Linked DNA regions of Lonchura striata. The protein of the gene in region 1 interacts with the protein of each later gene in a biochemical or structural test. Links are inferred from orthologs where the notes say so. Each region holds a gene or a part of one and is shown in the gene's direction. Other genes may lie near its edges. The genes, in order: EPS15, NUMB, FCHO1 and SGIP1.

Region 1 (7,501 bases):
GTTACTGTGATGTGTGAAAGTTATTTTTTGTCTTATGACCAATGTTTATTGCATTGGTGTTATTTTGTTTAATACTTTCTGAAACATTTTGACATTGTTATGGTTGTAATTAAGACCAGATGAAAATGAAGGAAAGTGGAGAATGTAAGAATAGATAAGAAGATGAAAATAATTGGGAAGACAAGTAAGGAAATCTCAAGAAGAAAAGCTTGCTAGTATCAAGATTTACAGTAATTCCATAAAAATGGTCTTTTACCATTAACAGTCATGTGTTTGTCTTAAAGACAAACCATTTAATAAGAAGAAAAATACCAAGTGCTCTTTTATCTAATTAATTCATGTATCTTATAATTCTGAAATTAATTAATCATCTTTGTGAAGGGCAGAGTAAACTAATTCTAGGTTAGGGGAAGGTTGGGAATTCAGTGTGTAGATTATATTTTTTATATTTTCTGTTTTCTTATAACATAATAATCTTTTAAGTGTTTCAGAAAGGTGAGCAGTGTGTTCCCTGGATTTATAGTATAGACAACATGCCTAAGGAATCAGGGAACAGAAGAAACTGTTGGTAAAAGCTTTTCTGACTGCTACTTTGTAAATATATTAGTTTTCAATCCTCATTTTGGTTTAATATACACTACACACTACGATATTGACATGTTTAATTTATAATGAAGACTGATGCTGTTTCAGCAGTGCTATTGCTTGTTCTATTTCAGAACATGTATTAAGCTGTTCAAGGAACAGTGAAATCTCCAACTGCTACATTAGCTGGACATGTCAGATTAATGCCTATTGAAGATTTTTCTGGGTTTCAAATATGGTCTTGAATGAAAAATGTCATTGTGCTGTCAGTCATTCAGCTAATTATCTAGAATTCAAGCTGACCTCTTGTATATATTTACGTTTTCTCTTATTATTTTACAACATGAAGTGTAGCCCCATGAAACTGGCTAATATAAATTAGTTTGAGAAAAGATGCTTACAGTCTTAATGAAAAGATAAATGGTATATGTTTTAAAATAGCAGATCTGTACTGCTACATTTCAGATTTGCCAGCACTTCCATCAGATATGATTAAAGAGATTCACTCAAACCCTATTCAGGTTATTTTCAATTTTACCATTCTCTTAATAAAAATTCAATATTATTCTTTCTAATTACTACGGTTAAAAGATAATTTTAGCCTTTGTTTTTCTGAATACTGGCAATATAGATTACATCATTTTGCAAAACAAAGAGGTACAATAATTCCATACTTTGTTTCTGCCAGATGAAGGAGTTAAATTCAGATATATTCAAATACTTCTGAACAACTGAACAGAAAACACTTTAGAGATGAACAAATATGCAGTTATCTTAATATCCTAGTTTGTGTTTATTTAATACTGCTACAGTTTTGTATAAATTTGATCATCTCTCAACCCACTTTGAAGTATTTTCAAAGCTGCTATAACTTTGAAAGTGTGCAAACCACATTAAGAAGCCAAGAGCACAGCACAAGATGAATTAGCAGGTGATTCCTATGCAGTTTTCATAACGATCAATGTACATACTCCAGAAAATAGACATCCTCCTAGAGGATACACTATAGGACTCACAGATTACGTGTTTTATGTAGAAGAAACACAGAAATTAACAGGTCTCTACAGAAGGTCAGTTGGAGTCTGGCTAGATGATTGTAATGTTCTCTTGTGGCCTTAAAACATAGCAGCCTATCTGTAACCCTTTGTCTAGAAAACTTGCAGCTGCATAAAATGTAAAGAGCACACAAAGCATATCCTGGGGTGGATTTCTAGATAAAGGCATGCCTGCAGTCGTGACTTCCTAAACCAGCTTGTGTCACTAGTCCTGGAAAGTACCCTGAGATTTCTGATAAAAGGTCTCCTCAGTCCAAAGGTTGTCAAAGTCTGCGTGATGATCTTCCTCCTTTCTCAGGAGGGATCTTTCAGTAGCCTAAGTGTGGGAAGTGCTGTTCTGTACCAGGACTATGGCTGTTGCTTGGCTCTCTGAAACCTGTGCAATGTCTGTTTGCCTGTGGGCAGATTCCCTTGCATTACAGTCTTTGATCATAGAACAGTGATTCCTTTTTCTGGCCAGGATTTTGTGTGTTGATGCATATGTTTCCTTTTGCTCTGTAAAACTCAAAGTGGCTTAATCCTTCTTACTTTTAAATCCTTGGTTCTGTATACGCAATGCTGCAGCTACTGCTCTGCTTTGCACTGGAATTCCAGAGAGCTGGGTACCTCATTTTGTGCTCAGGAATGCAGGAGGCAGGACTGAGTCATTCCTCTCTCAGCCTCCGGAGTGCTCATGGGCTGTAGTAACACCTTTCCTAGAACGAGCAGAACAAGTCACACTAAATGCCTGCGTGCTGTTTTGCGCTTCCCGTGTGCTGATCCATAGGGTAAACAAAGCTCTAGGAAAGGAAGAGATGGACACTTAAGATGTTATTTCTGGGGGGACCAGTAGATGATTAAAATGTTACCAGCTTTACTAACAATCATATTTAGACATCTATAGAACAGTGGTCGTTAGTGTTTGCCTGTGGTGGAGAGCCTTTCTGTGCTACCTTGCACATTTTCAAATTCAGCTGTATCAGAGCAAGTCATTTGTACAGTGTTCCACAGTGGGGATTTGCACCAAAATGGTTGTGCTGCTGCTGTGCTCACTGCACTGCTGCAAGTCCCAGTCTTCACCAGCCATTTGGCTAGTTTTGATTTGTTAGCAGTCCCTTGTTTGTCCAGTGTAGACATAACTTTGTGCATTGTACTTTCAAAGAAACAATAAAGAACACTAAGATCTGGTACCTATTTGTCAAAATGCCAGTATTTAGAATTGTAGAAAATCCTATTACACTTACAAATAAAAGCATGCTAATACTATTTTCCATGTCCTTTGGGCATAAAGTGCACTGTAGTAGAGGATCTTGCAACAAAACATCATATAGCAGTTCTTACAGAGCAGATTACAGATAAATATTTCCTGCAGGAGAATTCATGTTAAATGCAAAAAAGATACAAAATGAAACTGTTAAAGTTCTTGCAGTTCATTGATCTTTTGTCTTTCTTATGTTCTTAACAAGCAAGCTTTCCTGAAAACCCAGCACAGAATCCCACCACTCCTTACAAAATTCACAGAAGATATTTCAAAAGGTCAAGATTCATGGGGTCAGCAAAGGAAGAGATAGAAGAATGGGGTTTCCACTGAGGAGGAAATAAGAGGAGAAGTACATTTAGAAAATCCCTCCATTCCAGATTTCAGGAGCTCTTCCACACTAGCCAAGCCCTGGTGAGCTGCTCATGGCTAAGCCAAGAAGGTCATTGGAGGGCATTGTTTTGCAAACCTGCCAACAGCTTTGAGTAAATTTTAGTAGCTGTGACTTTTCTCTTGGCTGCAAGTAAGTATGAAGTCCAGTTTTGTGATCTAATATCAGGTGATGACATCTCAATTCCAGCTGAGAAGCAGAGAGTTGTTTTTCTTCTGGGAGCTGTCATTCTAGATTTGTGAAAATCTGCAATACAATCATTCACCATCAGCAGGCTGACAAGTGCTGTTGTGATTGTTATAGAGATGTCTGAGGTTCTGAACTGGTTGTTTTAACTCAGGTGGTTGGAGGCATCCAGGACAATTTGTCTGTGAGCTGCACAGAATGATCAACAACAGCACAAATCTACATGACCACACTAATTCAGTGTTGACTATATGAAACTCATTATTGTTTTAATTTGTAGAGGCCACAGTGGTTACCTTGAGGGATTCTTGCCCTCTGACTGTGGACACAGTGGTCATGCCTGATGACTGTGAGCGTGCAGAGCCAGGGTGAAGGTACATAACCACATACCTGGCAGTGCTTGCTTGTTCCTGAGCTGCAGGTGCAACTTGGAGTCTGCCGCAGCAGCTCTGGAGAACACTATGGAAAGGTGCTCTGGATGTGGACTGCTGTGCCCTTCACAGTTTGAGGAAGTAAAATGGGGGGTTATTTTCCAACACAAAGTTCAGGGAGATCAGGCCTTCAGGAGTGGTCTTGGCTGGAGCAGACCTCCCTACTGAACAAGTGTTCTGCTCTGAGGGGACCTGGGGCTTTTCATTGTGCTCTGGGGTGACACAGCTCTGCTGGCTGACTGGCACAAGTCCCTTGACTCAGCACCTGTATTCTAGAGCCTTGCTGCAGCTCTGGGTCCCTTCCTGCACCTGGTAGGAAATACTTGATGCAACACCCAGGAGAGAAAGAGAACAGCAGCAAGAACACTACTGAGCCAGATAGCCTGCCCACAAAATCCTGCTCACAGCAGCTCTCTGCATCAAGCCTCCAACTCCAGAGCCAGATCCCAGGTCCCTGTTTTGCATTTTCCTTCTCTTTGCAGAACACATCAGCCTGGGTGTAACCTCTCTCCTGAGAGGCCACCCGTCCCTGCCAAGCTGCAAGGCTCCAAGATGAAGGAAACAACTGACAGAGCAAAGGGCACCCAAATGAGCTCATGGCTGCTCAGAAATTCAGGCTCTCCAAATGCCCACTAAGGGGCCCCCTCCCAAAAATCCTGCTCTCTCCAGGAGACACAGCTGCAGCTTTACAATCTTCTGGTTTCATTTCCAGGTATTAATTATTCTGGGATAGAATTCGAATTTTAATCAAAGAAGAAAAAAATCTAGAAACATAAAGATAAATCTAGAAATATAAAGATAAATCTAGATATAGAAAAAACCTAGAAATATAAAGTCTGTGCTGTTTTCTAGGGATTTTGCTTATGAGAGAAGTGTGAGGTGGAGTAGAGAAGTGACAAGTGAGTATGTGAATGGTGTGAATATTTTTATATTTATTCTGTTTGCTGTTTATATTCTTCCCCTCCATATTTTCTTTTTCTTGCTGAAAAAATGGCTGAGAAACAGGTTGATAAGGCAGAGCTTCTATAAAACCTTTATAAAGGAATAGGTGGGAAGGAGGGATCCCACATTTCATGACAGATGATGAGCACTAGCAGCTCAGGATGACTGCCAGCTGAGGAATGACAGGATGCAGAGGTGGGGCATGAGCACACGACTGAGCTGAGGAGGACAAAAACAATGCAGAGGGGTATAGAATTATGAACAGATAAAGAAAACAAAGCATGTAGGGAAAGCTTTCCAATAATCAAGTATGACTTCAGCTAATTTTTTCTTACTAGTCCAAATGCATATTTCAAGATTAAATGTGTGCCTAAACCACCTTGGGGTAAAGCATAAAAATAGAAACATTTTCTCTTGGTCCTCAGTGACTTATGTATGCTGAGGTAGTGCAGAGCTCAGAGTAGGAGTGGAAATAAGCCAGTGGGAGGAGGTGAGCAGGTACAGGAGCAGGAGAATGAGCGGTGACATAAGTATTGTTTTCAGCCTGTCTGTACACAATTGTTTCCCATGGGTTTGGAGAATGTGGTGCAGTTTACTCCCCACTCCAGCCTGCTCCTTTGTGTCTTGTTGCAATGTCTCATAGTTTCTCCTGCCATAAGGGTTGCTCATCCCTTTCTTCTGGTTACCCGCCCCAGAAGAGCCACTGTTGCCCTGAGTACAAGCAGGGAGACAGAAGGATGCGTACAACCATGAGTTGCCTGGACAGGCATCTGATTTCCTGTGAGTGGAGGGAAGCAGGAGGCCGAGCCCAGGGCTGCTCCTCACCGCTGTGAGGATGCGTCGGGTCAGGACATCCTGCTGGGCTCACGCGCTGCTTCCTCCTGGGCCTTGTGCCCAATTCTGTTGCAACTGAGACCAGACCTGCTTCACCTCCTGTTTTGGGACTTCCCCACCTGTGGCATGACTGGACTGGAGAACTGCAACCATTCACCATGCTGGAAGCATCTCCAGCAGAAGCAGGGCAAATAGGGAAGGTGAGGGAGAGGCCGGGAGCTGGCAGTGGGGGATGTTGGTCTCCGTGTCAGGCCCATGATTCCGGCTCCGGGTTTTCGCTGCAGCTGCCTCGAGCGGGCTCCGGCTCCGGTAATCCGCGCCCGGTTTTGCGCGCGGCTGCGCTGCCGTGTGGCGGCGGGGGAGGCTCCGGCTCCGTCCGGCGGGCGGGCGCGGATCCGGTGCCGGGATTTGCCCGGGGCCGGCTGGGGAAGTTGCCGAAGTTGTGCGGCGAGTGGCGGGGCCCGGCGCGTCCTTCCTGCGGCCGGGCCGGGGGCATGGAACAGCATGGCCGCGCGCCTCTCCCTGGCACAGGTGAGGGGCTGCGCGCCCGGCCCGGCCGTGCCGCCGCCGCCCGCTCCCGCCCAGGCACGGCCGCGCCGCGGGGCTGCCCGGGGCCCGCGCTTTGTGCGGACGCCGCCGCCCCGCAGCGCTGCCCCGCCGCTGTCAGGTGGCGGCGGGGCGGGGGTGTGTCCGTGTGTGCGGGAGGGAGGGAGAACGGCAGCGAGGGGAGGCGGGTGGGCAGCCCGGCGCCGCGACCCGGGGGTGCCGCGGCCGAGGAACGGGTCCCGCCCGGCCGCAGGTGCCTCTGCCCGGGGCAGGAGACCCGGCCGGGAGCGGCCCCGGGCGGGCGGGGCTGCGCCGGCGGCGGCCGCCGTCCGTCTTTTGTCTCTGTAGGACTCGGGGCTCCGGGCTGGAGCCCAGCGAGCCCCGTCCCGGGAACGGAGGGCGGGCGGAGCCGGGGAGTGTTGGCGGAGGGGCTGAAAGGCGATAGCGCCGGGTTAAGGTGTCCGTGCCCGGTGCCAGCCCCGCGGGCACACCCGGCATCGTGGGGTGCTCCGGGGCAGCGAGACCATGGGCAGGTGGCCCTGGGAGGGATAGACGGATTCCTTGTTTTAGCAGAAACCTGGCTCCGCAAATGCTGCTTGCGGGATCGTTTTACCTTGGTTTAGGTGGGCCCCGTGGTTTTGGGACATTTTTGTCACATAGTGCCCATACAGGTGCCTCATAGTAAAGAGCTGTGGAGGTGGTGGCCCTAAAACTTGGAGACCGTGGCACTGTGTCATGCTCGTGTCATCTCACTTCACCTCAATCCTTCTTGCTCGCATTTTTTTCTGACAGTAGTGGAATCACTTCACACAGGGTATTCTACATCATTAGGATCATGTCTTACTCCCTAGAGCTGCAATAGCTAAGGAATGACATTTTTTGATACTTTCTAATTTCATTTAGCAGTGAGATGAGAAATTTACATTCCTACCTGACATAAGGCTGAAGTGGGCCTTTTGGTTCACTCTCCTGGCTTGGGATGCTTCAATCTGATAGCTAGTTGTGACATTTACAGAAAGCAAAGTGGGTAAATGAGCTTAATAAATTGCTTAAGCACATGGAAGTAAACTTAAAAAGCTGGCAGTGAGGCTGCACAAGTTTACAGTTACTTACCTAGTTTGCTTTTGAGAAGAATATCAACCATTTCAAGGAAAGAAGTAGTTCAGTGAAAAGGTGAGTAAATATATGGAGAAAACAAATATATCTTTAAGAGTCTAAAGGTATAGTTATGAAGTATAGTACTGTCTGTGAAAGCTTGCTTTATATTAAAATGGCTAAGTTAGTATTGTCTGAG
Region 2 (7,060 bases), on another chromosome or scaffold:
GCAGACTTTCTCTGTGTTCCTGGCAAACCATTAATGTAAACCAGTCACTATTAGAAAGTTAAGCCCAGCTTAATCCTTCTTCTCATTATTACTTTGCTGGTGACCTTCCTTTTGCACCATCAGTTTTGTTCTCATGCCAAAACTAATACCTAGTAAGGATAAAGAGCATTTCAAGCCTTCACTAACAGGTTTGCTTAGCTGACAGTCTTTCTTACACAGCCTAGCTACATCCACTATGTCATCACTGGAAGGACACAGCTGGATTCTGAAGCCTGCTGCTCATTGTGAAAGCTATAAAGTTCACTGCCAGATAACAAGACTGAAAGCTAATTCAGGAACTGTTTCTCAAGAGCTATCCTCTGGCCTCCCTCGTCAGAGTGAATGCACTCACTCACTGAAGCATCTTTTGGCAGCAGCTTTGGCTTCCCTCCAGCTGTTTCTCTCTTTCCGAGGATCTTCTTATTCAGTGACTGGTTGTGGTCTTTAAGCCTGGTTATCTTGTACAAGGAGCCCCACTGAGAAAAGAAGCCTTCCCTGCCATGGAACAACCAAATTAAAGCACATTTGTAAAAATCATAATTAGAAGGTCCTGTCCTCCCTGTGAAATTATCTTTTTGGAGGGATTTGGAAGCACATGTACCATGTGACACGAAAGCAAATACATTGGAATTAAAGCTGAATTAAAATAATGTAATTAAGTAGGACTTTTGACTGAGTTTATTCAACCCCCTGACTGGGCATGTGTACTTTCAAATTTTGAAATAATTTTATGAGGGGTTTTATGCTTTTATTAGTTGCCATCTAGCATTCAGTAGCATTGAGCAGATACCATCTGCAGTGACTCCATAGGCAGTGATTAAATACAAAGTTCCAGACTTCAAGGCTCCAGTAGAAGGAGAGAAAGAAATGGCAATGAGGAGAAAATCCCCATCCTAAAATGAAGGCAAAGAGAACCTGAATGAAATACTTCTCCTGTGGGATTAATCACATCTAAAGAATCAAGGTAGAAAGTACAGTCAAACTCTTCCTGCATAAATCTTGTGCTAAAGAATATCCTTCTGATATGCCCAGACCATGGCTCTTGACAAGCTGTTTGGCTGATGTTTTTCCATGGAAGGCAGGTTTTAAAGGATTCTTGCTCCTCATATCCTTTCTGTACTAATGATGGCAACTGCATAGCTTTGCTCATTAAATACATTTATGCCCACTATTTCAAGATTAACATATCACTGTGCCAACATAGGGCAACCCTATTCAACACTTGCTTCTCCTGTAAGCTGTTCCTAGTCAAAAGCCTTACAAAAAGACTTTATGTTTTGTTTCCTATATTTAAGTTTTTCTGAAGTATTCTGAAATTGCTTGCTCACCTCAGATGCAGCACTACCAAGATGTAAATACTATGCAAACAGAATGCCTTGGTTTAGCAACCATATTGGTTCAAATCTGCTCAGAGCATGACAGGAGAAAGCCCCTGTAGTAATTGCTTATTTGCTTCGCATAGTAGATATGTATTGCTACTAGCCAATATGGCACCTTATAGAAATATTTTTGAACATTTCCAGTGCTCATCCAGACACACAAGCTCCTATTGTTTTATATATACTGCCGAAAAAATGGAATTCCTCTTTGTGAACATAGAAATGCATATATTTATACTGGTATGGCTTGTTCCTAGAAGGGATAACATGGTGAAGGGAGATTTAATCACTGACATTATTTTAGATACCCAATAGAGTAGAATGATGTTAAGCCTCTGGGTATCTGCAGTGGGGATAAAGGAGTTTGCATTGTCATGAATGTGTGTGTGATATATTCTCAGGTCCTTAGGGAATAGCATACTCTCCTGCTATCCCACTGAGTCCAGGAAGGATATTGGCTAGAAAGGCACAGTTGACAGGAGTCAGTGGGCATGACAGGGAGTCAAGACCATTAATCCTGTGTATTACACAGGGAGTCCTGTTCTTAAAGAAAAGGTGATAAGGGGCAAATTTGGTTTGGTTTCTTGTGAATGCTATGAAGTATCTTCCATTTCTTTGTTATCTATGAGGATCAAAGCATTTAAAGCATTTCTTCCAGTGTCAGACCTTGGAGAAGTAATTTCCCCCCCTCCCATGGAAGTGCTGTGGGAAGACAACACACTCAACCCAGAAGGTGCCTTGGACCCGCAGTGCAGCACTGTGAATGTGCAGCTTGCTATGTTGGATGCTTAGTGTGTCCAGCTGAGTGACCTCTAGGGTCATCTTCCTTTCCTTTCCCACCACGGCCCCCTTTCCCTTCAGTCACCAATGACCATACAGGGAGGTCAAGTTATTAGCTGAGCAGAGAAGCAGTAATGGCAACAAATGAATTTAGCTATCTTATAAATATTTGTAAAAGCTATAAATAGCTGAAGCATACATTGGATTTTATTTACAATAGCATGTCCTGGCCTTTTCCTTTATACTTTTCATTTAGAAGCAGAGCTTCTTGATAATATGAGAGTTGTTAATTTAGAATTAAATTTTCATAAAAAATAAAGAGCATCATGCTTTACAAAAATTTCTGTCAGAAATCCAGAGACTGTGAATAAGATGAAGTGTTATACTGAAGGTACTGGGAACGCAGTATTTAAGATCTATGATAAGTCAGGAATGTTTTCATAAAATCTGAAGAAAACTTGGGACTTGAATATTTGAGAGGGAAGGCAGCTCTCTGCCTTGATTTTGCTTTCCTTGGAAAGCAAAGGATATGCAAAAAGATGTAAGGAGAATCCCTGCATCTTCTCAGTTTAATTTATGAACAAGGGGTGACTTGGGGGTCAGAGCATCAGTCTGAAACTGAGTCAGTGTCATACTCATACTTCTGCCTGAGCACTTCCTGTATAAACTTGGTAAATTATTTTTGCACATGCTCTGAAATTCCCAGTGATTTCAGTTGCTTTGTTTTCTTGATGTTTGCCAGCTAACATTATGGCCCGCATTCTTTGCTGCTCTGTTTCTTTGCTTGATTCAGAAGCAAAGAGGAATAAGGGGGATGGTGTATGCAGGGAGAATATAATAATGAAGGGAAAAATCAGGTAATCGTTGCATTTTGATTTTTTTTTTTTTCCCCTTCTTCTTTTCAGCTGAATGCACCGGGAATCGTTCTGGCTTGCATTTTGGATGAAGCAGCTGCTTGAAAGTCTGGTGAGAGGAGGCAGCTGTTTGAAATACGCATTCTGGTTAACGCGTTCAGGCCAAGCCCCGTATGTGCAGTCGCAAGGGTGCTTCTCCCAGAGGATTCCCCTGGGTAACTTCCCTTTGAAGCGCAGCCTCCCTGCTGAATTCAGCACCTGCTACTGTCTCCACTTCGAAAATGGAGGCATGCTAGTGTTTCTGGGGTCGAAAGAAGGGTATCCTGAGAATACTGTGGTTCTCAGTCTCAGTCGTGGAGGTTAAAGGAGCCTGCTCGCGATTTTCGTGCAAGCCTGGCCTCTGGCTGATGTAGGACATCACGGTTTCCGGAGAGCTGGCATTAGCAGCACGTCTCACTGCAGCCCCCAGGGAGGGTGGCAGTCACCACATGTGGTTTATCGGGGGGGTAACCGAGGTGGCAACGGGGCTGCGGGAACCCTCCTCCTGGTGTCGCCACCGCCGCAGCCGTGAGGAGATAAGAACCACAGCGGAACCGAACCGCAGACGGGCGGTGGGAGGCGCATCGCCCCTTGACGCATCAGGGGTCGCCGGGGCCGGGGGGCCCGGAGGTCCGGGCGCTCCCCGGCCGCGAGCCCGGCGCGGCAGCGGCCGCCGCCTTCCCGCCGCACCGCGCAGCCGAGCCCCGGCGGGGCGGGCGCACCGCCGCAGTGGCACCTCGGGCAGCCAATCCTGGCGCGCCGTCCCCGCCGCGTCAGCCAATCGGAACCGACAGCGAGAGATTGGGGGCGCCAAAGCCCCGGCGTGAATAAACCACCCGGGACCTGTGGGGCGGGGATGGGCGGGGCCGAGGCTTTGACGGGCGGCTCCTCACACCAATCCAAAGGCCGGACCTCGGGGCGCCTGGCCAATGGGCCGCCGGAGTAGGCGTGGCTGGCGGCGGGGGCGGGAGCGACGGTCGGGGGGCGGGGGCGGAGCGGCGGCGGCGGCGCTGCTCGGTGGCGACGGGCGGCGGAGGAGGCGCCGGAGGGAGGCGGCTGCGGGTAGCAGGTGAGCACGGCCGGGCCGCGATGCGGGGAAGGGCCTTCGCTGCAGCGGCCGGTGGTCGGAGCCGCAGGCGAGCGCGACGGGGCCGTGCCAAACCCCGTGGGGCGCGGGTGGGTCCGGCGGCGGGGGGGGGGGCGCCGGAGGCGGGGGAAGCTTGAGGGGCCGGAGGGGATGAGGGGGGGCAGGGGTACTCCGGGAAAGTGCGTGCGGAGGCGGCGGGCGATGTGGGGGCACCCTCCGGCCCCCGCCCCGGCGGGGCGCGGTGGGGTGGGGCGCGATCCCCCGGTGCGGCGGAGCGGGGGCCCGGCGCAGGTGGAGCCTGCGGGGGGCGGCCGCGGCACCGAAGGGCCCTGCGGGGAGCACCGAGCCGCCGGCCCGAGGAAGCGACCCCCGGGGCGGCGCCGCTCCCTGGGATTCTCCCGGGGCTGCCTCCCGTGCCTGCGGTCTCTCCTAGGCCTTGAATCCCGGCCAGGTTTCCGTCAGAGGGTCCCTCCGGCGCGGCCGCTCCCGGGCGCTTTGTACCGCTTGCCGCCCCTGCGTGGCCGTGGGAGCGAGGGGGCTCCGGGCAGCAGGGGCTCTCCCGAACCCGCTGCCCCGTCTCAGCTGGGGCTGGGCTCTGTGAACTTCGGGAGGCGTCGGGACGAGGCTTTTGGGCGATGGTACTGACGTCCCGGTCTGGCAGCGGGAGTTGTAGGGGAAAGGGCCCCGTGGGCAGCGGGGCTCGTCTCTTTTCACCCGGTTCGTGGCTTGGCCGGTGCCTCGGTGCGTGTGCGGCAGCTCGCCAGGCTGCACAAAGAACAGGCGGCCGGGTTCGGCCCGTCCTGCGGGCCAAGGAGGGATGGATGAGCAACAGCGTGCGGGGCGGGGGCTGCGGTGCGCCCGGGGAGCATCGCCCCGCTCCGCGCTCGGTCGGTCACGAAGGGTTAAAATGCAGCTCCCGTTCGGAGAGCCCTTAATTCCTTTTATTGCGCTCTTGGAGATGAACATTCTTCAAGAATGAAATGATTTATCCCTCACAGTAGAGTTAATGTCTTGCAGCAGCTCTGATCTACAACTCCTTCGGTCCAGTAGATTTATATAACCTGCTCATTAATGGTTTATGAAATGATAAGGGAGCTTTTCTGTTTGCTGATGTGTTTTGTGTGTTGTTATCAATATTTCCTAATTCAGCTGTCCGGAGTAGGAGAAGCTTATAGTTGTCAACAATGTATATTTCTACCATTTAAAGGATTTCATTTTGCTCTTGTTTTGTATTTTTGATCATTCTGCATATCAAGATAGGCTCCTGAATGAAGAGAGTGAATAAAATGGAAGGCACAGTCATTCTCTTTGGCTACAGTAATACTCTAAGTATGACTTGTAACAAAAAATGTAAATATTTAAATGGATTTCTGACTCAGTTCTATTTGACTTATTGATCTATAGTTACTGCTAAAATGGTCTTTATGATTATGCGGAGTTAATAGTTACCATAGAGAAAGAGATTGTTTTTCTGTTCATCAGTGAGTGTTTTCCATTTCTTCATCTCTTGGCAATTGTCTGTGGAAGTGCTGTTTTTTTCCCCTTAGCAAAAGTCTTACAGAAGAAATAAGGATGTGAACAAAGTCCAAAACAATGAATTTCAGATGTGTTCATTCTTGCCTGTGATTCTAGGAGTCTTGGTACCCTGAGTTATCCTACAGTAAAGGCTTTTTAATCTGTAATTGCATATAGTGTTGGTTTTAAGCCTCAGTGAAAATTTAGATTTACAGAACTCTAAACCTAACACATAAAATATTTTTTTCCTAAAATATACATGAGAAATGAAATTCAAATGAACAATTTAAATCCTTACTAGCAGAAAATTTATTTTTTATCCTTGGAATTACTTTCCTGCATTTATTATTTAGCTTAAATGTGTGGAAACTGAAGGCGCATGTAAACTAGATAGAGTAGACAAGTTTGTTTATGTTTTCATGTAGTGTTGTGAAACCTTCTGATTTTTTGTTAGCAGTTTGGCAGCATTATGCATTTGGGAAGAAACCTAAACCAACAAGCCACATTGGGCTCTTAAAACTTGCCAGACTTCTAAATCTTACATTTTGTAGTTTGATAGAGCTGCTTGGTGTCGGAATGATCTGTAAGTAATTTTCTTTCCTACCATAACGGGTATGATGGATTAAAAACTTTCTGAAACGGTACTGGAAGTCTTTGCAAAAGTGCTTCCTTCCTCAGGAATTGAAGCTATTGGGAAAAATATACTGTAGTAGATTTTTTATTGTGTGTTTGTGAGAGCCTATTACAGCACTGTGAAGTATGTCTTGAATTCTGCCTATAGCTGGTTTTATTCCACTAGTAATATTGATGGAACTGCATAGCACTGGAAAAAAAATGCTCTAATGCTATAGAAATGTAATCTTTTGTACTCTGGAAAAGATGTTTTAAAGAAGCTGTCAAGTAAGAGACTGGCAGCCAAAGCTGGTCTTATTGGTGACTTTTTAGTTGTATCCTACTTACTGCACTCATCTACTTGTCTGACACTCTGCTGACTTTGTTCTTTCTTTAGGGGAGGGGTGAAAGTTCACTTATAGTTTTGTTCTCCCAGCTTATCAAGCAAGCTTGGTTTAAACTCATATGAAATCTTGTCCTTAGTCTTGTTTTTGGAGTTTGCTTTGATTGGTGAACATATATTAAAATTACAGCTTTCTTGTTAAGTCTCAACTGATCTCAAAATATTAATAAGTGAAATTAGACCACATTGCCTTTCTTTTCCTGCAGAATACCAAGCATAAATTCAATCAAGCTAAGACTTAACATGTCCTCTACAGTCATATTATTGAATTACCACCACAGCAGCTTTGATTTTTCTGCCGATGCTTTCACCAAAAGGATCTGTTTTCCCCTGTTAGTCTTTCTTTGCTGAT
Region 3 (7,875 bases), on another chromosome or scaffold:
GTGTCCCCCACCATCACCACGCCCTCGCTGCCAGCCGAGGTGGGGTCCCCGCACTCCACCGAGGTGGATGAGTCGCTCTCGGTGTCCTTCGAGCAGGTGCTGCCGCCGGTCAGCGAGTCCCCCCCGGAGGAAGGGCGGCGATCCTGCGGCTCTGGGGACGCTCCCGAGCCCGAGGCCACCAAAGGAGGGCTGTCGCTGCCGCTGCAGCCGTGCCACCACCCGCCCTGGGCTGACGGGGACATGGTGCCACGGCCCGGCCACCGCTCAGACTCGCCCCACGACGTGGACCTGTGCCTGGTGTCCCCCTGCGAGTTCGAGCACCCCAAGTCCGAGCGGTCGCCCTCAGCCGCCGCCAGCCCGCGGGAGCTGTCGGACAGTGACCCGTCGCAGGAGCTGGCACCGCCCCGGGGCCGGCCGGGCGAGACCCCCCCCACGTCGGTCAGCGAGTCGCTGCCCACCCTCTCCGACTCCGACGCCCCTCCGGCCACCGAGGACTGCCCGTCCATCCTGGCCGACGGGCTGGAGTCGGACGAGGACTCGGAGCGGCCGCCCCGCAGCGTGGCCCGAGCGTGTGACCCGCTGCCAGCCCCCCTGAAGGACCCGTGTCCCCTCCCTGCCCAGCCCGGAATCTGCATGGTGGACCCCGAGGCACTGCCCCCCGGCCGCAAGGAGCTCCCCGGCACCAGAGTGAAGAGGACCCCGTCCCACGTGGGCTCGGCGCCCGCCGCCCCCAAGGCCGAGCCCCTTCGTGTCCCCTCGGCCACCAAGGCCAGGCCTCCAGCCAGCTCTGCTGGGGACAAGGCCAGGCCGCCCCTTGGGGACAAGAAGGGCCCGTCCAGCGCGACCCCCGGCAGCGCCCGCGCCGCTGGAGCCCGGCCGGCGGCCGGAGCCGGGCGGGCATCGCCGGCAGGTACGGGCGCAGCACTCAGGGGTCTTTGGGGGCCCGTCGTGACCGCTGTCCCCCTGTCGTGACCGCTGTCCCCCTGTCGTGGCAGGCACGAGGGTCGCGTGTTCCCAGGGACCCCCCGTGTACGTGGACCTGGCGTACCTGCCCGGCTCCTGGAGCGCCCGCACCGTGGACGAGGAGTTCTTCCGGCGGATCCGCTCGCTGTGCTACGTGGTCAGCGGCGATGACCACCTGAAGGAGGGCGTGCTGCGGCCGCTGCTCGATGCCCTCCTCGCGGGCAAGCACCAGTGGGGTGTGGACATCCAGGTGAGTTCCCAGCCTGGGGCTGAGCAGGGTGGGGTCGGCTCCATCATGGCGCTGGGGGTGGCAAAGTGTCCTGGGGGGCTGACAGATTGCTCTGGGCATCCCTTCCCAGTGCCTGGGGGGGTGACTGGACATTGTGGGTGCCCCTTCGTGATGCTGGAGCTGATGACAAAATACCCTGGGTGCCTCTTGCTGATGCTGTGGGGGGTCACAAAATGCCCTGGGTGGCCCTTGCAGATGCTGGGGCTGGTGACAAAATGCCCTGGGTGGCCCTTCCTGGCACTGGGGCGGGTGACAGGGTGTCCTGGGTGCCCCTTCCCAGCACTGGGGGGCTGACAGGGTGTCCTGGCCGTCCCTTCAGGTGACCTTGATCCCCACCTTCGACTCGCTGGTGATGCACGAGTGGTACCAGGAGACGCACGAGCGGCAGCAGGAGCTGGGCATCACCGTGCTGGGCAGCAACAGCACCGTGGCCATGCAGGACGAGACCTTCCCCGCCTGCAAGGTGGAGTTCTGAGGGGGAGCACGGCCCGGGGGCCACCCCCACCCTCCCCCCGAGACCCCCACCCCTCTCTGAGCTGCCCCATGAGCTCGGAGGGGCGGGATGGGGACAGCAGGGGAGGTGTGGGGGTGTCTCCGCCGTGCCATGCCCATGCCAGCCACGCTCTGCACCCGCTGCCAGCCCGGGGAGGGGACAAGGGACCAGCTTGGCACGGGGGGGGGGGACACAGGAGGTGTCCCCCAGCCCACCCAGCAGCGGTGCTGAGCTGTTCCCCACGGGCAGCTCGATGGAACAGGGTAAATTTTGGTGTTTTGTTGTTTTGTTTCCTCCCCCTTTTCCCTGGATGAGCCACAGTTTTCTCCCCCAAACACCCCTCAAAATGGGGGGTGGAGGGGCTGGGTCTCGATTTTTTTTGGGGGGAGGGGACGGGACAAAGCTGGGACAACCTTGAGGGTCCCATCCCTGAGGGGGTTAGGGGGTGCTGCTGTGGGGTTGTCCCTGGTGTTTTGGCCCCACCCAAAATGGTTGTGCCCCCCAAAAAAACTGTTATGACCCTCCCCCCCCCCCCAAAATTGATTTTAACCCCCCCCTCACATGCAGCATGAGGCTGAGACCTGCCCAGCTCGCTGCACTGATGCCCCTTCCCACCCCAAGCCTTCCCCCACAAAATTTTTGGGTGGGGGCTGAACAAAGGCACCCCCCAGCCCCTCATTTTTTGGGGGGAGTGGAAAGCAGCCCCCCCCTGCCACATCCACCCAGGAGCTGCCCAAAGCTGTTCAGAACCAAACATCACGTGCAATTTTTAAGGGGTTTTATGAGAGGAGAGCACCAAAGGGGGGGTCAGGGCAGGGCTGGGGGGGCACAGAATGTGAGGACTCCCCCTAAATTCCCCCTTGGGACAAACACTAACCTGTTTTTGTAGGAGGCTCCTCGATGGTTCTTTTTGTAATGACTTTTTAAGATTAAAAAAAAAAAAAAAAAAAGACAAAAATCGTGAAAACTGAAGAAACTAAACCTTTTCTTTTTCTGTCAGTTTTTTTGAGGGGGGGGTTATTTATATTTGCTCCCCCCCCCCCAAATAAATGCCCATGGGGGCTTTTACCTTTGAATGTATCGTCCTACGTGTTCGGGGAGGGGGCACTGAATGTTTCACCTTTAGTGCTTTATATTGTTTTTTTCTCAGCTGGAAGGTTTGGAGGTTGGTGGGGGGCATTTTTTGGGGTGGGTGGGGTGGCTGTGACCACCACCCCACCCCAAAACCCAGCCCCTGCCCGTGACCACCAGCACACACTCCCCATCTTGCACACCACGTTCCCATTTGGCAATTGTGTGGAAAATGAGCATTAAAGAGGATCATTCCCAGTGGATCTTTGTCTCCTGGGCTGGTTTTTTTTTTTATGGGGGGGGTCCCCATGGATTTGGGGAGGGGGTGGAAAAGGATGGCTTGAGCTTGGCCTTTTTGGGGGTGGTACCATGAGGTGGGAAAGGGATTTTGGGGGTTTTTGGGGATGGGGGGGGTTTGCAGTTGCAGCTGGTGGTGGGAGAGGGGTTGGGGGATCTGTGGGGGGGTCCAGGGTGTGACCGGGGGGGGTTGAGAGGGGTCGGGGGGGTGGATGCGCTGCGGTGCAGCAGCGCCAAGGCTGAGGCTGGATGCGGGGTTGCCATGACAACGCCATCCCCGCATCCCAGCCCCGCATCCCAGCCCCGCCGCCCCCGGCCCCACCAGCAGCACGAGGAGGAGGAGGAGAGGGTTGCAGCCGTTGTCTTCGGCCCCCGCCGATTTTGGGGGGTGTTCGGAGCCTCCTCGGTGCTGTGGGGGTGTCCCCGTGTCCCTGTGCTCATCCCCCACTCTGCGTGGGCAGCACGAGGCTGGCAGGACCAGGGAACAAAAGCCTCTCAAAGCCCCCCATACCCACCCCCAAATTCCCCTTCGTCCCACCCCCCCAGCCAATCCCAAACGTCCCCTTCCCCAAAAATCTCCTCCTTGCCAGGCCCTTTGCTCCAGCGGGGGTATTTTGGGGAGGGGGCGCAGGGGGGGTCCGGTCCCCTGGAGCCCAGCTGTGACCCCCGGGATCGAGGCTGTCCTCGGGGCTGTCCCTGTCCCCCCAGCCCCCCCCGAGCCCCCCACTCTGCTGTTTCCCAGTGCTCTGACTGGTCCCAGTAGCTTTGGGTTTTGGGGAGGGGTCCCAGCGGGGGCTTCTCCGCCAGTGTCCCCTTTTGGTGGCTGCCGGGACCCGCGGGGACACCGCGGGGACCCCGCGGAGCCGCGGAGGTGACAGCGCCAGCAGGGGCCTGACCCTGGCCGAGCCGTGCCGGGAGCTGGGGAGGGGTCTCCAGCCCAGAGCCTCCGAGCCCACCGGCGCTCCGCGGTGCCACCGGCTGGGCCTGGCGTCGTACCTGCCAGGTGTCGCCGGGACAAAAGGCAGCGTAACTGAAACCGCCGCGTGACGTCCCCGCCGTGCCGGCTCCGGTGGCACCCGCGGGGCCGCCGCGTCCCCCCCATCTCGGCGGGACGTTCGGTGCATTCCCGGCGGGAATAAGGGAACGTCGCCCCCACCGGGAATGTCCCCCGCCCCCCGCCCGGTCCCTGCCCGCGGGGACGCCTCCGTGCCCGCTCCGACAGCTGCGCCGGTGACAGCCGGAGCCGGGCCATGAGCTCAGCGGGGTGCGAGGCACCGGCTGGCACCGGCGGCGGAGGCGGGGGAGACAGTCGGGGACCGCGGGTGCGGTGACAACCGGCGGGGTCGTGGCGGGGGGAGCCGCCGCACCGGGACCAGCACCACGAGCTCGGGGGCCGGAGCGCGTGCGGCGGCTGCAGTCCCGGGGGGGGCGGGGGGGGGGTGTGACAGCCTGGGGAGGGTGACAACCGGGGGACGGCGGCGGCAGCTCCGGTACCGGCAGCTCCGGTATCGGCGGCTCCGGCCGCGCATCTCCCCCCGCGCCGCTCCCGCCGCGGTTCTCGGGGCGGCGGCCGCTTTAAAAATGCAAATCAGCCCCCTCCCCGCGCGCGGCGCGGCGGCGCCTCGACCAATGGGAGGCGGCGGCCGCTGGCTGCGGTCACCGCTGCCGGGCGCGCTGACCAATGGCGACGCGTCTTGGCGGGAGGGGGCGTGGCCAGCTCCGCCCCCGGCGCGGTCCCGGCGCGGTCCCGGCGCGGCGGCGGCGGCGGCGGCGGAGCGGGGCGGGGGCGGCGGCCCCGCAGGTGAGTCCCGCGTCCTGCCCGGAGCGGGCACCGAGCCCCGGCCCCGCACAGGGGGTCCCGTCCTGGAGTGTCCCCGCCGCGCAGCACCCCGGCCCCGCCGTTCCCGCGCGGGTTCCCCCCGCCACCCCCGCAGCATCGCCCTCGCCGGTGTGCGGAGGCGCAGCCCCGTGCCCCCCACCCCCCCACCCGTGATCCCCCCCCGCGCTGTACACCGCGCCCCGCTGCGCCGCACCGTCCCGGAGCCCACCGTTAATAACGTCCCGGTGCACCGTGCAGCCCCCGCTGGCCACGAGCCCGCTCCCGGTGCTGAGGGCGGCCCCCCCGCCGCCTCCCCCCGCTGCAGGTGCAGGGCTCGGTTCTGCGCTTTTCCTCCTTTTTTATTTTCCGGGGTGCACGCCCCGGCTCCCCGCCGTGCTTCCCGTTCCCGGGGGGTTTTGGGACGCGCAGCACCCCCCGCCCCGATCTCCCCCCGCCTTCCCGAACCGGGCCCCCCACTCCGGTCGCCCCGCATCCTCCGGGGGCTCCCCGGCGCCCCGCACTGAAGGTCACGGCTGCGGGTGGCCCGAACCGCCCGGTTTTGGGGAGCGGGGGTCCTGGGGTGGCCCTGCCGCAGTCCCCCCACCCCGCACCCGCCGTCCCGCTCGGGGACTCGGTGGCCGCGGCCACCGGCGGGGACTTTGGCCGGCGGCGCGTTCGTGGCGTTCGCGGCCGCCCGGGGCCGGCGGGGCTGTGGGATTCAGCACCCCCCTCACGACCCCTCCCGGTTTTTCCGCCCCCCGTTTGTCGGGGGGGCCGCGCCGAGCCCGCCCCGCCCGTGACACAGGTGGCGGAGGGACCGGGCAGCGGTGGGGGGGGCTCGGGGCGGGTTTTGGGGGGGCTGCAGCGTTCCCTTACCCCCCCGTTTTACCCCTCCAGACCCCCGACACGCCGAGGATGCTCGGGGGGCCACCGCGAACCCCCAAACAGCCCAGGGTGAGTCGGGGAGGGCCTCCCCGGTGGCACCAACCAGGCGCGAATTTTTGGGGTTTCCTGTTTTTCTCCGGTGCATGATGGGGAGCGGGTTCGGGGGGGCACAGCCCAGGGTGGGGGGCACATCTGGGGTGGGGGGCACATCTGGGGTGGGGGGCACATCTGGGGGTCACCACACTGAGTGCTGGGGGGCTGCTCTGCTCGGGGACCCCCAGCTCGGCAAATCTGGGGAGTGGGGGGTCGGGACACTTGGGTCCTTTCTCCGGTGGGGCGGGGGTTCCCGGGGGGTGCGGGGGTGTCGTGGGGGAGTTTTTTGGGGGGCCCGGGGGCATGGGCAGGGCCGGGTGTGGGAGCAGCCGCCGCCGCACGCAGCAGCCGCTCATTTATTATTTATCTGCGTATCTGGTGTCGGGCCCAGCGCCGCCCCGGTGGCCCCGCCGGTGCCCCCCCCGGTGCCATCCCCGGTGCCCCGGGGTGCCGCACACCTTGGGGAGGGGTCTCTGGAGGAGGACCCCTGCGGTTTCCATGGCCACGGGGATGCGTTTTCCTGGGAAAACCGATAAAACCGGGTGGGTGCGACCCCGCGAAGCCCCCCGGTAAGGCCCCGGTGTCCCCCCCAGGCTGCCGGGAGTTGAGCTGCGGTATCCCCGCGCCGCTGCCCCCCCTCCAAGATGTCCTATTTCACCGAGCACTTCTGGGTAAGCTGGGACCCCCGCCCTTGGGTGCCCCCCGCCCTTGGGTACTCCCCACCCCTCCGTGGGTGCCCCCCATCCTCAGAGACGCACCCCGCCCTTGGGGGAGATGAAGTTTCAAGGCCCCATGCCTTCGTTAATGCTGTTGATTAATTAACTGGGGGGTGGGTGGGGTGGTGGGGGTGGTCTGGGAGTCTCCCAGCTGTGGTGACATCGCTGTGTCCCCCCCCCGCTCCCTGGGGACCCCCAGCCCCGAGGGGGAACAGGGGAAGTCGCGTGGCCGGTGCTTCCTGCTTCATCCGGCAGCTGCCACCACCTTCCTCTTCCTCCTGCCTCAGTTTCCCCTGGGGGTTCACCTGCACACCCAGCGCGGCTGGGGGAGGGGGGGGTCTGAGGTGAAGCCACTTTGTGGGTGGGGGGGCAGCACCCAAAATAACCCCAGGGGTTTTTGGGGTTCAGTCCAGCCCGTCCTGGGGAGCACCTGGGGCAAGTTCTGGGTAGGAGGTGTGGGGTTCAGCACCCCACTTTTGGGGGCTTGGGCCACTCCAGACACTGATCCCGGTGCTCCTGGGGAAAAGGGGTTGTGGGGGGTCCCTTGGGATTTGGGGTCTGAGGTTGGGGGCTCCCCTGGCAGGGCGAGAAGAACCACGGCTTCGACGTCCTCTACCACAACATGAAGCACGGGCAGATCTCCACCAAGGAGCTCGCAGACTTTGTCCGGGAGAGGTACCCGGGGTTGGGGACAACCTGGGGGCTCCCCAAACCCCTGGGGAGGGGTCCCCAAAATCCCAGCTCCACCCCAAATCCCCCTCCCCACCATCCTTCCAGGGCTGCCATTGAGGAGAACTACGCCAAGGCCATGGTGAAGCTGTCAAAGATGGCCACAAACGGGACCCAGCTGGGGTACGGGGGGGTCTGGGACACCTTGGGGTGGCTTTGGGGACCCCGGGTGACCCTTGTGGTGGCCCCCCCGGGCAGGACCTTCGCGCCGCTGTGGGAGGTTTTCCGCATCTCCTCGGACAAGCTGGCCCTGTGCCACCTGGAGCTGATGAAGAAGCTGCACGACCTCATCAAGGAGATCTCGCGCTACGGCGAGGAGCAAGGCCGGGTGCACAAGAAGGTACTGCCGTCCCCTCCCGGCCCTGTCCCAGTCCCCTCCCGGCCCTGTGCCCTCGCTGGGGTGCCCGGGTGGCCCGGCCCACGCCGCTGTGCCCCCGGCAGTCCAAGGAGGAGGTGTCGGGGACGCTGGAGGCCGTGCAGCTCCTGCACGGCGTGGCCCAGCTGCTGCCCAAGTCCAAGG
Region 4 (7,875 bases), about 4.8 Mb from region 1:
ACAGCTGGATCCCGCACAGCTGGGACCCCGCACAGCTGGGATCCCGCACAGCTGGGACCCCGCACAGCTGGATCCCACACAGCTGGGATCCCGCACAGCTGGGATCCCGCACAGCTGGAATCCCACACAGCTGGGATCCCGCACAGCTGGAATCCCACACAGCTGGAATCCCGCACAGCTGGAATCCCGCACAGCTGGGTCCCTGCACAGCTGGGATCCCGCACAGCTGGAATCCCGCACAGCTGGGATCCCGCACAGCTGGAATCCCGCACAGCTGGAATCCCGCACAGCTGGGATCCCGCACAGCTGGGATCCCGCACAGCTGGATCCCACACAGCTGGAATCCCGCACAGCTGGGATCCCGCACAGCTGGAATCCCACACAGCTGGAATCCCGCACAGCTGGGATCCCGCACAGCTGGGATCCCGCACAGCTGGGTCCCTGCACAGCTGGAATCCCGCACAGCTGGGATCCCGCACAGCTGGGATCCCACACAGCTGGAATCCCGCACAGCTGGGTCCCTGCACAGCTGGGATCCCGCACAGCTGGGATCCCGCACAGCTGGGTCCCTGCACAGCTGGGTCCCTGCACAGCTGGAATCCCGCACAGCTGGAATCCCGCACAGCTGGAATCCCGCACAGCTGGGTCCCTGCACAGCTGGAATCCCACACAGCTGGAAGCAGACGCTCCGGGGCTGCCTCTGCCTTTGCTGCCCCGGATGTTTCCCAGCACCGCCCCCCACCTCTGCCCCCTCCCCATCCCGTTTCTTTTCCGGGAATAAATTAATTTTAAGAAGCATTCAATGTTCTTTATTGGTGTGGTCCAAGCAGGCAGACCCAAAGGTGATCAGGCCGCTACCCAAAGACAAAATAAATTTTAATGAAAGGCTGCAAGGGCATTCCTGAAGCTCGGGATTTTGCCAGGGCAGAATTTGTTTCTCTGGATTTCTTTACACAGCTGAGAAATTTCCCCTAAAGGAGGCAAAAGCTCCGTTCCAGAGCCCTGGAGTGGCGTGGGCAGGGGATGAACCGGCAGCACTGAGCCCGGGGCCGCAGGGGATGGATCCATCCCATCCCATCCCATCCCATCCCATCCCATCCCATCCCATCCCATCCCATCCCATCCCATCCCATCCCATCCCATCCCATCCCATCCCATCCCATCCCATCCCATCCCATCCCATCCCATCCCATCCCAAAGCACATCCCGGGCTCCCGCTGCCAGGGATCAGCCCCACAAGGGGCTCGATCATATTTCGGGTGGTGTGAAATGGCTGCAGCCCCCCAGGCCTGCACGAGGCCTTTGCCAGTGCTCCTGAACACTTTTATTTTTTTTTTTCCTTGAAGAATAAAAATTAATCAATTCTCAGCGTCCTGGAGCATGCCGGGGCAGCCGCACCTGGTGCCCGTGGGGGTGGTGCTAATTACCCTGATTAGTGCGCGCTTATCAGGGGGGAGGTGGGGTCGGGGGCGATCCTGGAGCCGGGGAGGAGGAGCAGGAGCAGGTGGGATCCCCTGCGGGGTGTGCAGGGGTTCCCCTGGGGTTTTGGGGCTGGGGTCCCTGTTCCTGCCGGGATGCTCGGGGAATCCTTTGTTCCCCCAGCACAGGCTGGGGCCGCCCCGGGAGCTTTTGGGGCGCTCCCTCTTGGGGTTCAGCCTGCCCGGGTGGCTCCTGGAGGTGCCACTGGGATTTTGGGAGCTGGGGCTGGGCTGGTCCCCTCCGTGCCCCTCGTGTGGGGCTGGGGCAGCTCCTCCTGGGGCTCTCCCCTCTCCCAGCCTCCTTCTTTTGGGGAAAAACTCCTGGAAATTGTTCCGGGAGAGCTCCGAGCTCTGCCAGGGCCTGGAGGGGCTCGGGGAGAGCTGCAGAGGGGCTGGGGACAAGGATGGAGGGACAGGACACAGGGAATGGCTGGGAGTGGGAATATTTAGGCGGATACTGGGAAGGAATTTTGGCCGTGGGGATGCGAGGCCCTGGCCCAGGTGCCCAGAGCAGCTGGGGCTGCCCCTGGATCCCTGGCAGTGCCCAGGGCCGGGCTGGAGCTCCGGGACAGCGGGAGGTGGCCCTGCCCTTGTCCCTGAAATTCGCTTTTAGCGGGGCCGGATTCCCGAATTCCCGGGGATCCTCCCGGCAGCGCGGCCGCCCCGGTTCCCGATTTGATCCCGGCCCGTGGCAGGGCGGTGCCAGCCGCCCCTGGGCGCTCCCAAGGCGGGATTTGCCCTGCCCGGGCCGAGGATTTGGTTTTTTTTAGCAAATCCCGGCGCTCTGCGGGGCCGCGCTGTCACATGGAGCCGCGGCTGACTCCGCCGGCAGATGAGTAATGCAGCCCTGACTCATTTGCTGCCGCTTTTATTTGGGTTTTTTATTTATTTTCGATTTTTTTTTTACATCCTCAGCCCCTTGGCTTCATCTGCTGCTGGCAGCTCCTCGTGCCTCTCCTTCGGGAGCTGCTGGAGATTCCCGGGGCTTGGCATGGGAATTGTCCTTGAGGCAGCTCAGCGGGGCTGTGGGGGGGTTTGGGAGTGGAATTGTGAATTCCGGTTTTTGGAATATCGGCTTTGCCTCGGGGAGAGGGGTTTGGTGGCAGCTGCCCCCCCCAGGCTCTCCCTGTGCCAGCTGATCTTGGAAAGAGCCCGTTCCAGGAGCGGCTTTGTGGGTTCATTTTGGTTAATTTTGGTTATTTCGGTTAATTTTGGAGGGGGGTTTTGGTCAGCCCCCCTGGCAGGAGGAGTTTCACAGCGTTGATCTGCCCCACGGATCCAGGGGAAGCTGGAGCTGCCTGGGGGGAGCAGCAGCCAAAATTCCCGGGTGGATTTTGGCCAAAAGGGTATTTTAGCCACAGGCTGGCCTGGGCAGGGATCTGCGGGGAAATCCCGGCTCCCCTCGTTTTCCCGAGGAGCAGCAGCCCCCGGAGCCGTGCCAGGGGCTGGCACGGGATGTGGGGTCACGGAATTCCCGGATTTAGGTCTGGCGGGACCTTAAATCCCATGCCAGCCCTGCCACCCTCCCCGAGGATCGCTGCTGACCCCGCCTGGCCTCGGGCACTGCCAGCGATGGGAATTCCGGGGCCCCGCAGCTGCTCCGTGAATTTTTTTTGGGGGGGTTTGTGTTATTTTGGTGTGCCCAGGAGGAATTCGGGCACGGAAGGTGCCCGTGCATCCCTGGCATCTCCTGCCGGGGGTGCCAGCCTGGCTCCTGGGGCGGTTTCGGGGGCGGCATCCCACGGGCTGTGCCCAGCCTGGCACTGCCGCCGGAATTCCGCGGGGCACGGGGCTGGCAGCGGGGCAGGGAGGTCACAGGAGCTCCTGGCAGGGATTAAAGGAACCATCTGTTCCATAATCCCGTTCCACAACTGCCTTCCCCACACCCTTGGAGGTGCTTGCCTTTTAGATTGATTTTTTTAAACAGGAGGGGGAAAAAAATATTTATTTTTAATTTTTTGCTATTTTAATCGGGCAAAAAAAAAATTGATTTTCATGAATGAAAAATGCCTTTAAAAAAAAAAATTATTATTTTTTCAATGGGGAAAAATGATGTCCTGAGCGGGGACAAGCCCCGACGGGCACGGGGGGCTGCCGGGATGATCCCCAGGAAGCTGGTGCGGGCGGGTTTTCCATCCGCGCTCCGAGCGGCGGAACGCGCGGCTGTCCCCAGAGCAGGGGCGGCTCCTCCGGGCACCCACGGTGCCCATCCCGGGATTTTTTTGGGAAGCGGCGGGGCCCTGGACAGGGTTCGAGCCCCTTTCCTGTCAGGGGAGAATAATAAAATATCCGGAGTTTGGGAGCTGGGTCTGCCAGGGACGGGTTTAAATCCCGATTTTTCTTGGCTAAGCCAGGCGGGATCCCCAGAATTGAGGCTGAGCGCAGTGACAGCTCCGGGGACAGTCGGGAATGGGGGGGTGGCATCATGGGGGGACACAGGGCAGGGCTGGCACCGGGGGGACACGGGGCAGGGTGGCACCAGGGGGGGACACAGGGCAGGGTGGCACCAGGGGGGGACACGGGGCAGGGTGGCACCAGGGGGGGACACAGGGCAGGGTGGCATCATGGGGGGACACAGGGCAGGGCTGGCACTGTGGGGGGACACAGGGCAGGGTGGCACCATGGGGGGACAGGGGGCAGGGTGGCACCATGGGGGACACAGGGCAGGGCTGGCACTGTGGGGGGACACAGGGCAGGGGTGGCACCGGGGGGACACGGGGCAGGGTGGCATCATGGGGGGACACTTGGCAGGGCTGGCACCGGGGGGACACGGGGCAGGGTGGCATCTCTGGGACACTTGCCCGGGCTGGGTTTGGCCCTGGCACGGCAGCGGCTGCCAGGAGGGCCCGGCGTGCCCGGCCCCGCTCCGCTGCTCCTGAGCCGGGATCCATCCCCCTTTTTTCCCGGATCCCTTTTCCCCGATCCCCTTTCCCGGGATCCCTTTTTTTCCACCCCGGGATCCCCTTTTTCCTTTCCCTTTTTTTTCCCCCCCGTATCCCTTTTTCCCGGGATCCCTTTTCCCCAATCCCCTTTTTCCCGATCCCCTTTCCCTTCCCCCCCCCGAGATCCTTTTTTTCCCTGGATCCCTTTTCCCGATCCCCTTTCCTTTTCCCTGGATCCCTTTTCCCGATCCCCTTTTTCCGGGATCCCTTTTTCCCTCCCCCGGGATCCCTTTCCCCTTTTTCCAGGATCTTTTTTCCCCCTTTCCCCTTTCCCCTCTTCCCCCGGGATCCCTTTTCCCCAGTCCCCTTTTTCCCGGATCCCTTTTCCCCAGTCCCCTTTTTCCAGGATCCTTTTTCCCTCCCCCGGGATCCTTTTTCCCCTTTCCCTTTTCCCCCGATCCCTTTCCCCTCTTCCCCCGGGATCCCTTTTCCCGGATCCCTTTTCCCGGATCCCGGATCCGCCGGGCCGGGCATTAACCATCGCGCTGCCCGCAATGGGATTAGGGCAGGGGAAGTGCGTCACGAGGTGCGCACAGGGGCTCTGTTTTTGGGGCAAGCGTGTGTGTGTGTGTATTGGGGGGAATAAAAAATCCCCAAAATCTGGGAAATAGGCTGGAGCGCTGCCGGGGGTGTGCCGGCAGCGAGCGCGCATGTGAGCAGCGCCTCGCCCTCCCTTCCTGCGAGCAGCATCCTCCGCCCGCCCTGCTGGAGGTGATACAGGCGCAGCATCCATGGCCTGCCCCTAGCCGCGCTCCCCGCTCCTTCCTCCTCCTCATCCTCCTCTCCTCCTCCTCCCGGCCGGGAAGAGCCGAGGCCGGGCGCTGCTGAGCGGGGCTCGCCCTCTCCTGCGTTTTTCCAGGCTCCCCGGCAATTGAGGAATGCGCTTCTGCCACCATGATGGAAGGTAGGCGATGAGCCGGGCGCCTTCTCCCCCGGGCTGCTGGCGGGCTGGGGGGAGCTCGAGCCTTTCCCGAATCAAAGATTCCCTCAATAATCGCTCCATGCGCCGCTGCCCCTAATCCCGAGGGCCGGAGGCTGAGCCCAGCGCCGGGCCGGTGATGGAGCCCCGAGCCCGTCAGGTCTCTGCAATTCCATCCCCAGCCTGGGTCGGCAGCTCGGGCTCTGCCCATTCCCGGTTTTCCGCCCAGCTGCCGCTTCCTCCGCCGGCATTTGCATCCCGAAATCCCGATTTTTTATTTTTTTTTTTTTTATCCCGCCGAGCTGTCGCTTCCTCCGCCGGGATTTGCATCCCGAAATCCCGATTTTTTCTTATCCCGCTGTGGATGCGCGGCTGCCGGAGGGGATTCGGTGCTTTTGGCCGGGTGGATGAGCATCCTTTCGGTGGGAAACGAGGGAATCCGGACTCGAGATGATTTTTATTTTCCTTGCCGAGCCGCGGAGATGCTGGATCGGGGTTTTTCGGCATTAAAAAAAAAAACAAACACGGGGATGAGGAGGGAATTTGGGCTCCGATGCTTCGGGGAGCTGTGTGTGATCCTGTGTGGGAAAAGCCTCTGGGCATGACAGGAATTTTATCCTCTGTCGTCTGTCTCGGCCGTATGTAAAGCTCTCCTTTATTATTTATCATCTGAATTCCTTCTGGAGCAGGATGCAGGGGAAGGATGCCTCGGGTTTAATTTTATTTTAGCGGAATGGATCCTCCAGGGCCAGCAGGAGCGAAATGGATGGAATTTTGGGGGAATTCTGGCCCGTTGGTGGCAGCAGCAGGGCCTGGCTCGGCGGAGCCTCTTCCAAGCCGGGGAGCTCCCCGGGATGACAGGCAGAAATTGGGAAATCGCTCCCCGGACTATCCCAAAATCTGGGGCTGCCCCTGCCCAAATTCAGCGGGAGAGGCCTGGGGCTCCGTGGGATTTCTGTGGGTTCAGGATCTTTCCCTGGCCTCAGGAATTCGGCCTCTCCTGGGCCGGGTTTTGGAGGATTTGGTGGGAAGAAAATGAGTTTTGTTGTGCTGTAGATCCCAGGAGAAGCCTTCCCTGCTCTCCCGGGTGCTGATGAGAGTCACAAGCCAGAGAGGTTTTAATTTTAGCCCGTGACATCAAAGCCATCCCACGACAGGCAGGTCATGGCGGGGAAAATGCCGTTAAAATCCCGGCTGCTCCCGAAATTCCGGCGTTCAGGGAGGAGTTCTCGTGGATAAACTGGAGCTGTCCCCTTGTAGGCCTTGCTTGGAGTTATTTATTCGGTTTTCAGGCTGCTTGGGGGAAGGAAATTGGGGTTTTGAGGCTCTTTGGGGTTTTTGGGTTTGGGGTTTCTTTTGGGTTTGGTTTTATTCCTCGCGGGTTTTGGCCTGGCAGGAGTTTTGGAGATGGATCCAGGGCTGGATCTGGCAGAGGTGGAATCACCTTCCATGACCCAGTCATGCACGGGGAAAAATTAAATACTCATCATAAAAATGGAATTATTAAACAGCTCGAAACGTTCCCCAAGTGGCTGATGCAAACCTAGAACAGAAGTCGGGAAATGAGAACTAATTCCTGGGTTTTTTCAGTTTTGAAATAGTTGGAAATTGGCTGGATTTGTGGGAGAGTGAAACTTCGATCTGAGATGCCACTGAAACTCTGGCCCCTTATTTAATTTTTAAATAAAATTATATTTATCGAATATTTAGATTTATTTAATATGAATACAATTAACTCCATGGTTTTGACAAGCATGGCTTAATTGGAGCTGACGCTTTAAAACGTGTTCAAAACACCGAGAGTTCCTCGCAGAGCATCTTAAAGGGGTTTAATTAGTACTGTCATTAATTCTTTAAATCATTTGTCCTGCTGGAGTGGTGGACACCGAGCTGGCAGTGGAGGGTGGGTGCAGGACCTGAGGCCACCCATGGGCAGCAGGAGGGACCTGGCTCATGGATCCTCTTTGGAGCCTTTTCCTGGGAAAAAAGAGAATTCACCGGGTTGGGAACGGCGCAGGATGAGCAATTTGTGCTCAATATATGGAATATTTTGTCATTCTTCTGGGAGATGCGAGAAAAACGTTTCTTTTTCATGGATGCCTAAAAGTCCCAATGATATCCCCAAAAAAAACAAGCAAAAGGGTTTTTTTTTCCCCAGCCCCCCAGCCTTGCTGGAGGACGCTGAAGGTGTCTCCAGGAATGGAAATTCCTCCACTTCCATGGGGCAGGAGCATTCCATGGCTTTGCCGGGTTTGGTTTCACTCGGGGGGGAAGAGGGATTGGGATTGGGATCAAACCCCCTGGAGATGCCTCCTGGTGGGAAGCAGGATTGGGATGGAGATCAGACCCCCTGGAGGTGCCATGGGAAGTGGGGATGGGATGGAGATCAAACCCTCTGGAGATGCCTCCTGGTGGGAAGCAGGATTGGGATGGAGATCAAACCCCCTGGAGATGCCTCAGGGTGGGAAGTGGGGATGGGATTGGGATCAAATCCCCAAGAGGTGCCATGGGAAGTGGGGATGGGATGGGGATCAGA

The links.
Region 2: the proteins of EPS15 (region 1) and NUMB form a complex in vitro, tested with the Homo sapiens proteins (2 studies listed by BioGRID and IntAct, with this or other methods). The link is inferred for Lonchura striata from reciprocal best matches to the Homo sapiens genes EPS15 and NUMB.
Region 3: the proteins of EPS15 (region 1) and FCHO1 form a complex in vitro, tested with the Homo sapiens proteins (2 studies listed by BioGRID). The link is inferred for Lonchura striata from reciprocal best matches to the Homo sapiens genes EPS15 and FCHO1.
Region 4: the proteins of EPS15 (region 1) and SGIP1 form a complex in vitro, tested with the Homo sapiens proteins (2 studies listed by BioGRID, with this or other methods). The link is inferred for Lonchura striata from reciprocal best matches to the Homo sapiens genes EPS15 and SGIP1.

What each region holds. Positions count from the first base shown.
Region 1 is NC_134611.1:10,084,278-10,091,778, forward strand, and holds the start of EPS15 (epidermal growth factor receptor substrate 15), read left to right. Parts: upstream 1-4,495; 5' UTR 4,496-4,510; coding exon 4,511-4,597; intron 4,598-6,001; exon of another isoform or gene 6,002-6,165; coding exon of another isoform or gene 6,166-6,192; intron 6,193-7,501. UniProt on the Homo sapiens protein: Involved in cell growth regulation. May be involved in the regulation of mitogenic signals and control of cell proliferation. Involved in the internalization of ligand-inducible receptors of the receptor tyrosine kinase (RTK) type, in particular EGFR.
Region 2 is NC_134608.1:35,772,711-35,779,770, reverse strand, and holds the start of NUMB (protein numb homolog), read left to right. Parts: upstream 1-4,055; 5' UTR 4,056-4,160; exon of another isoform or gene 4,161-4,267; intron 4,268-7,060. UniProt on the Homo sapiens protein: Regulates clathrin-mediated receptor endocytosis. Plays a role in the process of neurogenesis.
Region 3 is NC_134630.1:7,889,021-7,896,895, reverse strand, and holds the start of FCHO1 (F-BAR domain only protein 1), read left to right. Parts: upstream 1-4,871; 5' UTR 4,872-4,914; intron 4,915-5,829; 5' UTR 5,830-5,886; intron 5,887-6,503; 5' UTR 6,504-6,554; coding exon 6,555-6,581; intron 6,582-7,209; coding exon 7,210-7,301; intron 7,302-7,403; coding exon 7,404-7,478; intron 7,479-7,553; coding exon 7,554-7,695; intron 7,696-7,796; coding exon 7,797-7,875. Other genes in the region: MAP1S (microtubule-associated protein 1S), read left to right, coding at 1-910, 996-1,213, 1,572-1,727. UniProt on the Homo sapiens protein: Functions in an early step of clathrin-mediated endocytosis. Has both a membrane binding/bending activity and the ability to recruit proteins essential to the formation of functional clathrin-coated pits.
Region 4 is NC_134611.1:5,294,589-5,302,463, reverse strand, and holds the start of SGIP1 (SH3-containing GRB2-like protein 3-interacting protein 1), read left to right. Parts: upstream 1-4,870; 5' UTR 4,871-5,314; coding exon 5,315-5,324; intron 5,325-7,875.